Linked DNA regions of Saccharomyces cerevisiae S288C. The main gene of each other region encodes a partner of the protein of the gene in region 2 in a complex. Each region holds a gene or a part of one and is shown on either strand. Other genes may lie near its edges. A codon is read from its position in the direction of its gene.

What was found. The genes of interacting proteins can lie anywhere in the genome.
Region 1: the proteins of RPN10 (region 2) and RPN9 are in contact, whole or in part, in a cryo-EM structure (PDB 5MPD), measured with the Saccharomyces cerevisiae proteins. Residues at the interface, in NP_012070.3 of Saccharomyces cerevisiae: Glu14 (codon at 2,113), Tyr15 (codon at 2,116), Arg17 (codon at 2,122), Asn18 (codon at 2,125), Gly19 (codon at 2,128), Asp20 (codon at 2,131), Pro22 (codon at 2,137), Arg23 (codon at 2,140), Thr24 (codon at 2,143), Phe26 (codon at 2,149), Glu27 (codon at 2,152), His77 (codon at 2,302), Thr79 (codon at 2,308), Ile81 (codon at 2,314), Glu82 (codon at 2,317), Glu148 (codon at 2,515); in NP_010715.3 of Saccharomyces cerevisiae: Glu35 (codon at 1,716), Lys36 (codon at 1,719), Leu37 (codon at 1,722), Trp38 (codon at 1,725), Phe39 (codon at 1,728), Gln40 (codon at 1,731), Ser42 (codon at 1,737), Lys72 (codon at 1,827), Ile73 (codon at 1,830), Asn74 (codon at 1,833), Asn116 (codon at 1,959), Asn117 (codon at 1,962), Gly118 (codon at 1,965), Ser119 (codon at 1,968), Lys120 (codon at 1,971).
Region 3: the proteins of RPN10 (region 2) and RPN8 are in contact, whole or in part, in a cryo-EM structure (PDB 5MPD), measured with the Saccharomyces cerevisiae proteins. Residues at the interface, in NP_012070.3 of Saccharomyces cerevisiae: Asn58 (codon at 2,245), Val61 (codon at 2,254), Leu62 (codon at 2,257), Ser63 (codon at 2,260), Thr64 (codon at 2,263), Lys71 (codon at 2,284), Gln92 (codon at 2,347), Ile93 (codon at 2,350), Leu96 (codon at 2,359), Thr97 (codon at 2,362), Lys99 (codon at 2,368), His100 (codon at 2,371), Glu124 (codon at 2,443), Arg127 (codon at 2,452); in NP_014904.3 of Saccharomyces cerevisiae: Pro55 (codon at 2,020), Glu57 (codon at 2,026), Lys61 (codon at 2,038), Asn62 (codon at 2,041), Asp64 (codon at 2,047), Val65 (codon at 2,050), Trp66 (codon at 2,053), Phe67 (codon at 2,056), Leu68 (codon at 2,059), Asp69 (codon at 2,062), His70 (codon at 2,065), Asn71 (codon at 2,068).

Annotation. Positions count from the first base shown.
Region 1 is NC_001136.10:1,320,592-1,323,886, forward strand, and holds RPN9 (proteasome regulatory particle lid subunit RPN9), read left to right. Parts: upstream 1-1,613; coding exon 1,614-2,795; downstream 2,796-3,295. Other genes in the region: SNX41 (Snx41p), read left to right, coding at 1-1,350; BNA7 (arylformamidase), read right to left, coding at 2,863-3,295. UniProt on the Saccharomyces cerevisiae protein: Acts as a regulatory subunit of the 26S proteasome which is involved in the ATP-dependent degradation of ubiquitinated proteins.
Region 2 is NC_001140.6:497,006-500,791, forward strand, and holds RPN10 (proteasome regulatory particle base subunit RPN10), read left to right. Parts: upstream 1-2,073; coding exon 2,074-2,880; downstream 2,881-3,786. Other genes in the region: AIM18 (Aim18p), read right to left, coding at 1-275; AIM46 (Aim46p), read right to left, coding at 485-1,417; NBL1 (borealin), read right to left, coding at 1,566-1,714, 1,782-1,854; PPX1 (exopolyphosphatase), read right to left, coding at 2,945-3,786. UniProt on the Saccharomyces cerevisiae protein: Multiubiquitin binding protein.
Region 3 is NC_001147.6:815,415-818,788, reverse strand, and holds RPN8 (proteasome regulatory particle lid subunit RPN8), read left to right. Parts: upstream 1-1,857; coding exon 1,858-2,874; downstream 2,875-3,374. Other genes in the region: GTPase GPN2, read right to left, coding at 454-1,497; GCD1 (translation initiation factor eIF2B subunit gamma), read right to left, coding at 3,069-3,374. UniProt on the Saccharomyces cerevisiae protein: Acts as a regulatory subunit of the 26S proteasome which is involved in the ATP-dependent degradation of ubiquitinated proteins.

The DNA of each region.
Region 1 (3,295 bases), on a different chromosome or scaffold from region 2:
CCATCCAAGCATTCTCTTCTCAAATACATATGGAGTCCCATAAACGCAGCAAATGATTCCAAAATTATCTCCACCAGGAAGAAAATGCTCAATTCATTCTTGTCTAACTGTCTGAACATTCAAGAAATAAGCAACGATATTGTTTTTCAAAAATTTCTAAACCCTGAATTTAATTGGAAAGATGTTTTAAGTTCGTCGCCGATAATCATACTACCTTTGAATAACCTTTTAGCTCCACCTTTAAGCCCAACAAAACCAAGCCCCCTTCATTCTATTTTACCTATTCCATCCAACTCGTCTCTGAGAAACTATAATTCGATTTGGCAACAACACATCACAGTAAAAAGTCATAATGAAATTTCCAACCTCCCAACAGAAATTTTACAAAACGAATCTCAATTTACACATATTGAAAATTTATTCCAAAATTATAAGCGAATAATCACCCATTTATTAAAAAACATAAGATCAAATAAATCTCATTTCCACTCCTTGTCCACGTATTTTGCTGAATTAGGCGCATATTATAATGCTTTTAGTTTGGAAAATGACATAACCATGCCCAACAGCCTTCGCGAATCTGAAAACAATTCAAACAACCCAATGATGGAAATTATTAGTCATATTGAAAAGACAGGCCATTCATTCGATGTTATATACATTTCTTCCGAGATCTTAATAGAAAAGTACACCTCTATTCTTGAGGACCCCATTAATGAGTTATTGCAGTTCTTAAATGAGTCATTCAAAGTTCTAAATTTCAAGAAATTAAAGTTTTTGCAATTTAAAATATTAGAGAGGCTAATTATCGAAAAAGAAACGAAACTTTCGAGTCTCACTGAGATTGAAAACCAACTGCAGAAGATTAATGAAAGTTTAACGCGGTCGACTATATTGACAGATGAAAATTACAAAGATACAAAGGCTGCTGACCTGACATTTGTTAAAAAGGACGTAAGATCGCTATCGAAGTCAAGTTCAAATTCAAGCTCCAGTGGACACCAAAACGAAATTCATATAGGCGCAAGTAAACTAAACTATAAAACGTCTACGCCAACAATGAATCTCAATAAATTAGAAATCAAACAATTGACTGAACAAGAAAGATCTAAACAGATCAAACAGTTGAACCAAGATTTATCCAAATTGAAAGATTGTCTATCAATCTGTATATCAGACATGCTAGAAATTAACAATTCGTCATACAACAGCTTAATGCATACATATAACCATATTAATTTGACCATTGGAAAGATCTTGAAACTTTTCGCAGCTAGCTTCAAAGCATGGATCAAAGAATGTCTGAAGAATTGGAAACTGGCAAAGTTACAAATCGACGAGGCCCTATAAAAAGCATTACCGTCACGCATCGTGTTGCAAATAGCATATACATATATATATATATATATATACATATAACGTATACGTTAGAAAAATTTGAATACACACATTCATTTATCCTATTATTATCATTTTCATTCTTACCCGCTCCCCGCTTTCATCCGGTGGCAAAAGTAAGAACAAATAAAAGCTAGACCTAGATTGAAGAAACTATTAAGTACCAAAAAGCAAACAGTGGGCACACGCGAGGAAACCACATTATATTTCGCAAGATGTTTAATAATCATGAAATTGACACCATATTAAGCACTCTCCGCATGGAGGCAGATCCCTCTTTGCATCCTTTATTCGAACAATTTGAGAAATTTTATGAAGAGAAATTGTGGTTCCAATTGTCCGAATCCTTGACTAAATTTTTTGATGATGCTAAATCTACACCATTGAGGCTCAGATTATATGATAACTTCGTTTCTAAATTTTATGATAAAATCAACCAATTGTCAGTAGTAAAGTATCTACTTGCCTCTTTGAAGGATTCTAAGGATTTCGATGAGTCTTTAAAATATTTGGATGATTTGAAGGCTCAATTTCAAGAATTGGACTCTAAAAAACAAAGAAATAATGGATCAAAAGACCATGGTGATGGTATTTTGTTGATAGATAGCGAAATTGCTAGAACTTACCTGTTAAAGAACGACCTCGTTAAGGCAAGAGATTTATTAGATGATTTGGAAAAGACATTGGATAAAAAGGATTCCATTCCATTAAGGATAACAAACAGCTTCTATTCTACAAATTCCCAGTATTTTAAATTTAAAAATGATTTCAATTCTTTCTACTACACAAGTCTATTATACCTTTCTACCTTAGAACCATCTACAAGCATTACTTTAGCCGAACGTCAACAATTGGCCTATGATTTGAGTATCTCAGCATTGTTAGGTGACAAAATCTATAATTTTGGCGAACTATTACACCATCCAATAATGGAAACTATAGTCAACGATTCCAATTACGATTGGCTTTTCCAATTATTAAATGCTCTAACCGTTGGTGATTTTGATAAATTCGACTCATTGATAAAAGTTCAAATATCAAAGATTCCTATATTGGCTCAACATGAATCATTTTTACGACAAAAAATTTGCCTAATGACATTAATTGAAACAGTTTTTGTCAAAAATATTAGGATGCTTTCATTTGAAGATATTTCAAAGGCTACACACCTACCAAAGGATAATGTCGAACACCTGGTCATGAGAGCCATAAGTTTGGGTCTATTAAAGGGTTCTATTGACCAAGTAAATGAACTCGTTACCATCTCCTGGGTCCAACCAAGAATCATAAGTGGTGACCAAATTACAAAGATGAAGGACAGACTGGTTGAATGGAACGATCAAGTAGAAAAACTGGGCAAAAAAATGGAAGCTCGTGGCCAATCCATCTGGGTTTAGGCCATTGGCAGTTATATATAAAACACACACGCACACATATATATAAATGCAGAAATAAAATCAACTATCAACAAATATTGTCAAAAATATACTTCGCAACTTTACCATTCTTATAAACATCATTATGCAAACCCAAATCGTCCAAATACAACTTGAAACTTAACTGATAATCCTGAAGACAAGAAATTAAACAATTAGTTTGTCTTAACGTTAATAACTCGTCGCTATAAGAATGCACTAGGTGCATATCAATACTGAAGCGAGAAAGGGCTTTCTTCACGTAAGGCATTACTCTCGAGGGCTCTTCCTCGTACATTTGAATACCATCAGGGAAGGCAAGTCTTGTAAAACAATCATACTCTGGGTATTCTACCAACAGTTCCTTTAACGAGTATATACCATCCAATAGAAATACTCTCTTCACGATCTGCAAAAGTCCCAACATTTGCAATTGCGCTTCACTCATTTTTTCTTGAGGATCTTTGAGTGCAGCTAATATC
Region 2 (3,786 bases):
TGTATCGATTCAGTATGAGAAGGAAAAGCATCAGTTTTATCGTCATTTTGTACCGGACGATCACGGTAGTATAACGAAGTAGCGAGCAATGTTGACGCCGCAAACCAGGGCCAATAGTGGAACGTCGAATTAGAACGCCCAGGGTATTTAGTGGCTCGTATACTAGTAAAATTTCTTTTGAAACATTGCCAATGGTTGGTTGATGGAGATTTCTGACATTTAGCTAGTGTTCGCTGGAGTGATTTTAGCATATTGGCGCACCTTCCTCTGTCCATGAAGGGATTCTATCGCGGTTGTAACGCCGTAAGAGTTTTGAATTGATTTTTTCTTGTCAAAACCGAATAGCATTGTAAACATTTTGAGGGGTCCCTCCTAGAAAAATTGAGTCGAAAGGAAACTCAAAAAAACATCATTAGAGTATATGTGCAGCTTTTGGAACAGCGTATGTATTATGTAATTGTATGTAGAAGTCGGCGAAAGTGTCCTAAGATAGAGAGACGAGTGCATCGATTACTTCCTTCCTAGCCTCCGGAGAAGGAGGATCCACAGCAGCTAGGTAGTGGGCAAATAAGAGCTTTCCAATAAGGGGTTCCTTCACTGTGCCCAATATCACAAATTCATCCTTCTTTCTTGCGTAGTAAGACAAATTCATAGAGCAGTCCTTATTCAGCTCAATGAAAAAATCATCATCTCGAGCCACAAGTCCTTTTACGCTCCTGAAACAGTCATGCAATTCTTGGAATCCAGCTTCCAGCCGGTCTTTGTCTTGAGACTGAGAATCTGGGTTCTTTAGGACGCTCTTTTTGGTGCCGTCCATCAATAACTTGAAGGAACCTGCTTTTATCGGAGTATTCTTGGACATTAGTCTGATTCCGCTGTCTAAGAGGTTATTAATCAGGATAGGGGCCTTAGCAGGATCGTTCAAAGCCGCACGCAAATTATCCTGATGTGAGTTTTCCGGTGATGGGGGTGCCGCAGTGTCGATGAACGCCTGAGACAGGAACTTTGAGTCCAGTACTTCAGAGACCAGATGTTTGTCTTCAGCGGCCACATATATGCCCAGACCATATGCTTTGAAAGTGATCGATGAGACACAACGTACACCCTTACCAATCAGCTCATATTGCGTGGAGAAGGGCCACTGTGGGGGGCCCATCTTCTTAGGGAACGCAGAGATGGATGCGTCCACTGCAACGCTGGTGGCATCCGCCTTTTTGATCTGGGAATCGTCATACCATTTCTTCGCGAATATGGATGCCAGTGCTAACCCTGTTAACACAGGCACTACTTTGCTGCCCTTCTTGTTCACACGAGCATTGCCCGCTGTAGTAGAGTAGTGAGAATACCATTGTGGGGCCCTCCTCATACCTACCTCTAGGCAATTTGTTTTCACCAAAACTTTACTGATTAAACGCATGTTTCCATATACCTGGCCTTCTGCTAAGTAGACATGTATTCAACAAGGGGATGTAACCACACGCTGCTTTAATACCAACAAATCGGCCGCTGATTAGTAATAGGTGCATCATTGCGAATACCGAGAAAGGGTCCATTATACGAACTAATCATTCTATACGGCGTCCTTCCTGTTCAAGCACCTCTCTGATTAGTTCCTTTGATTGAGGCGCTGATGTTGCATCAGGCTGCTGGAGCAGATTTAGTTTCTTTAACGTCTCCTCTTTAATATTTTCGATCAGTTTTTCTGTTGTTTCCACTGAGGTTGTGTTAGTAATTAGTGCGGGTGAAGGTTGGGGGTAGAGTGTTGCGGTGAGGTGACATACGTTCCAGCTGCATTCGATGTAGTATTGCGCTGCGCAACTTCTGCCGTTCTTCGGGAGTGAGAGCCGGTATCATCGTAACCGAGTGCGGCAGCTGCCCTTTTGCTGATGTTGTTGCCACTTCTTGTTTACAATTGTATTCTCTTGAAGTTATATGGCATTATAGCTGCCGGGTTATTTCCGCCAGGCGGGTTTTCGCCACCGGAATTTACAACTAAATACACACTTATATCAGACTTTTAAAGCGTAAAGAAAGAAGGGAAAAGTCAATAAATAACTCAGCAGTAACCGCACAATGGTATTGGAAGCTACAGTGTTAGTGATTGATAATTCAGAGTACTCTCGCAATGGCGACTTTCCTAGGACAAGGTTTGAAGCCCAGATCGACTCGGTAGAGTTCATATTTCAAGCCAAGAGAAACAGCAATCCTGAGAATACAGTGGGTCTTATCTCTGGTGCTGGCGCCAACCCCAGGGTGTTATCTACGTTTACCGCCGAGTTTGGGAAGATTCTTGCTGGACTACACGACACGCAGATCGAGGGTAAGCTGCATATGGCCACTGCGTTGCAGATCGCTCAGCTGACTTTGAAGCATCGCCAGAATAAGGTCCAACATCAAAGGATTGTGGCATTTGTGTGTAGCCCAATAAGTGATTCTCGAGACGAATTGATCAGATTGGCAAAAACACTGAAAAAGAATAATGTTGCCGTGGACATCATCAATTTTGGAGAGATTGAACAGAACACGGAGCTTTTGGATGAGTTCATAGCTGCAGTGAACAACCCTCAAGAAGAAACTAGTCATTTGCTTACTGTGACGCCTGGCCCCAGACTGCTGTACGAGAACATCGCATCTTCACCCATAATTCTCGAAGAAGGATCCTCCGGTATGGGCGCCTTTGGTGGGTCTGGCGGTGATTCCGATGCCAATGGCACATTTATGGACTTCGGGGTAGACCCATCAATGGACCCAGAACTGGCAATGGCCTTGCGTCTGTCTATGGAAGAAGAGCAGCAAAGACAGGAAAGGTTAAGACAGCAGCAACAACAACAAGATCAGCCTGAGCAGTCTGAACAGCCTGAACAACACCAAGACAAATAGTAGTGTACAAAAATATCTATATGGGTCATATATAAACCAAATAAAGCATATATAACATCTCCCTTCACTCTTCCAGGTTTGAGTACGCTTCCTCTAAATAGGGGACGACTTGCTTTCTGGTGGCCTCGACGTTCAGTTGCTTAAACATCGCCACACCTCCATCAAGATTGCCCCCAAATAATTGAAGTTGGAGCTTGTCGCTAACCCTTTCAATGAGTTCACGTACCACGTTAGAGTCTCCCAATATGACCAATTCTCTGTGTGAATCACCAGCTTTCCTCCATGAAGTCAACAGAACCAATACATCGAGCCCCCTCTCCGCCTGAAATCTTCTGCATTGGTTGACGAAATCTGCTTCACCACCGTGTTCATTGAATAGCCAAGACATTCTTTTTACTATTGATGAAAGACCAATCTCTAACCCTTTGTGTCCCTTTCCTTGGAAATTGAATTGTTTGTAGTCCTTCTTTAGAATATCGCTTACCGAAAATCCTTTAATATCGTTCTTTCTTGATTTTATCTCTTTATAAAACTCACTGCTGTCCTCTAAACCTTGCGCAGACACTTCATTAACCGCACCACTAAGAACAGCTTGGCATCTCTCGATAGCTAATTTATCACTTTCCTCGACTTTGCGCCTCATATTTGAAGTGTCTATTAAGATGGCCCCCATCAAAAGTGGTGCAATGTTCATCACCACTTCACGGTCACCTTGCAATTTTTCATACCAGTAGTTAAAAACCAGCGATGAGCAACTGCCGGACACTTTTACAATCCGAGGTTCAGCATCCAAATGTTTTTGCAAGTCAAAATGGTGGTCTATAATGCCAACGACGTTATCTATATAATTTTTCAAATTCTTTGGTGTATCGTTATTATCTACCAAGTAAGAGTTTAATTCAGTAC
Region 3 (3,374 bases), on a different chromosome or scaffold from region 2:
TTGAATATGAAAACTTCATCAATATAGAGTAGCAAACCATTTTTACAACATTTTATATCACGATCTGCGCAAAAACCTTAGAATCCCCGCACAGCTGCCCAATGACAGATATAGGCAACGTTGTTGGTGCTAATCATTTTTAACTTGTTCTTTTTCCTCCTAGAAACCCATTGACAGTTTGCTGGTTATTTTTTTCTTCTTCCGCTTTTGCTGTCGCCGCGAATGAGTGAAGGCTGGTCAACCTGGTTAATTAGTAGCGCTGGCTTTCAGGGTACGAAAGCAATCATGTTCAGACATAGGGTTCTGTCCTTTGCAGCTGATTTGCAACTCGGCCAGCAATTCAAGAACATTTCGTAGTAAGCTGCTTTCAATTATATGCATATATACTCTGTATACAATTTTCAATTTTGAATTAAGTTCCACGGCTGAACGAGAAAAAGATACCTGAACACGCTACCTAACAAAATCCATTCCTTGTTTCTCTTCCCACTCCTTCAGCGCATTTTCCCACTCATCTTCTTCATTCACATCAACAGCTTTATTTTGCAATTCTTGTTCTTTTAACAACGCCGTACGTTTTTCTTCTTCTTCTTTATCATACTTCTCTTTATTGTCTATCCACCTGTCTTGAATGTCGTAATTCGCTATTAATGCACCTTCTCGCGAAGCCTCAGCCCACACGGTATCACCACCAACTTCGGATGCGCCGAATATGTAGCCATTTGCTTTATCTATAACACCTTGAAGATTTATCATACTTTCTTTGTCATCCACGGACAAAACCTCAAATGATACTAAGTTGAAATCTGAGACTAGCTCTTTGATTGTTTCAGTTAACTTGCTATATTTCTTTCCCAGTACACTAGAGCCTTCCTTTTCAATATATGGCTCCAAATAATCCAGATCCTGGACCTCTGTATAATAGTCTAATCTAAAGGGTAATTCTCCGTATGATTTCAGCATATCTATTTTAGAAAAAACGTTGATGTGAGGGAGATCCATCATTAACATAGACCTCAATGCAAGTAACAAAATCGAGATATATTGTGAAGGGGATGTCATGTAAAAACAGTCAATCAAATTTACAACACAAAACCTAATGTCCAATTCCTTTTCCATTTTTTTAAAGATGTTGAACAAAGATGAGTGATGAGTAAATAGCTCCACTTGGCCCGGACAGTCGAATACAAGATATGCTTTTTCTTCTTCTACAAGTGACTTGATCTGTAAAATGAACAAATCAATAGAATTATCCAATGATTCAACAGCATACATCAAACCTCCATTAGGGCCTAACTGTTGCTCTTGCATGATCTCCTCTAATGTTATAAAATCACGAATATCCACAGCGCATGGGTAAGGTAAGGCATCATTAGCAGGATCCATATTCACTACCTGGGAATGTCTTCCGATGGCATTGAAGAACTGTGAGCAGCCGTTGCAATAGGTTGACTTCCCTGAACCTGGTGGACCAATAACAATCTGAGCGAAGGGCATTATTGTACTCTCTAGTAGAAAATCAAAACTATTGACACAACAACAATCAAATGAAAACAAACCATTCTATTACGGTAAGTAGTGAAGACTCACAATGCAATCTTTCAATGAGCATCACTTACTTTAAGTAGCAATATTCCTAATCACTTATTACGAAATTTGATTTTACTAAAGTTCGGGGATACCTCAGTGGCAAATCGTTACTCAAGTTGCACGTAACGTAGAATCTACAATGAAATAATTGTGAAGCCAACAGCTAAGCAATCTATAGTGTAACGTTGGCTTTCTGTACAACTGCTACTGATTGAGGGCATTTTTCGAATTTAAAAAAAGAAAGAAAGAAAGGAAAATCAAATTACAATGTCTCTACAACACGAGAAAGTTACCATTGCACCACTAGTTTTGCTATCTGCTTTGGATCATTATGAGCGTACGCAGACAAAAGAAAACAAAAGATGCGTTGGTGTCATCTTAGGTGATGCTAACAGTTCCACTATCAGAGTCACTAATTCCTTTGCCTTACCGTTTGAAGAAGATGAGAAAAACTCTGACGTGTGGTTTTTAGACCATAATTATATTGAAAACATGAATGAAATGTGTAAAAAGATTAATGCCAAGGAAAAACTCATTGGATGGTATCATAGTGGTCCTAAATTAAGGGCTTCTGACCTCAAGATTAATGAGCTGTTTAAAAAATATACTCAGAATAATCCGCTATTATTAATTGTTGATGTCAAACAACAAGGTGTTGGTTTACCAACAGATGCATATGTCGCGATTGAGCAAGTTAAGGATGATGGTACGTCTACAGAAAAGACGTTTCTTCATTTGCCTTGTACTATTGAGGCCGAAGAAGCTGAAGAAATTGGTGTAGAACACTTATTGAGAGACGTACGTGATCAAGCAGCAGGTGGCTTATCTATCCGGTTGACCAACCAATTAAAATCTTTGAAAGGATTACAAAGCAAACTAAAAGACGTTGTCGAGTACTTAGACAAAGTCATTAATAAGGAATTACCGATAAACCACACTATATTGGGCAAGCTACAAGATGTTTTCAACCTTTTACCAAATCTGGGAACACCTGATGATGACGAAATAGATGTGGAGAATCATGACAGAATTAATATTTCAAATAACTTACAAAAGGCTTTAACTGTGAAAACTAATGATGAATTAATGGTTATATATATAAGCAATTTGGTTAGGTCAATTATCGCGTTTGATGATTTGATTGAAAACAAAATTCAAAATAAAAAAATTCAAGAACAAAGAGTAAAGGACAAACAATCAAAAGTCTCTGATGACAGTGAGAGTGAGAGTGGTGACAAAGAAGCAACTGCGCCATTGATCCAACGAAAGAACAAGAAAAATTAATTCAAAAATTAACATAACATAATATATGAAATAGATGTGTAAAACGCTATGTATTAATACAACATGTTAATTTGCTTAAGCATAATTATGTTCTGTTGAATTTCAAATATAAATGCATAATATCGCCTCTATTCTCGTCCACTTACTTACTTGGTCTCTATTAAAGAGACTGAAGGAATATACATAAGTTTATATTAACGCTCAAATAATCCGTCATCTTCGTACTCGTACTCGTCGGTATATTCACTATCATCAGAATCTTCATCGCTTCTATCATCACTGTCAGTTTCTTCGGCGATTTCACTTTCTCCAGCAATAACACTATCATCATATATTAACTCGTCCTCCTCATCTTCATCCAAATAAACGTTGGCCAGTGTTTCACCTTTAAAGTTATTTTTAGGCTCCACAACATAATGGCCTTCGATATAACAATTGCTGAGTTTACACTTTGAACCGATTTTTGCCATAGGTCCAATAATACAATTTTCCAGGATTAC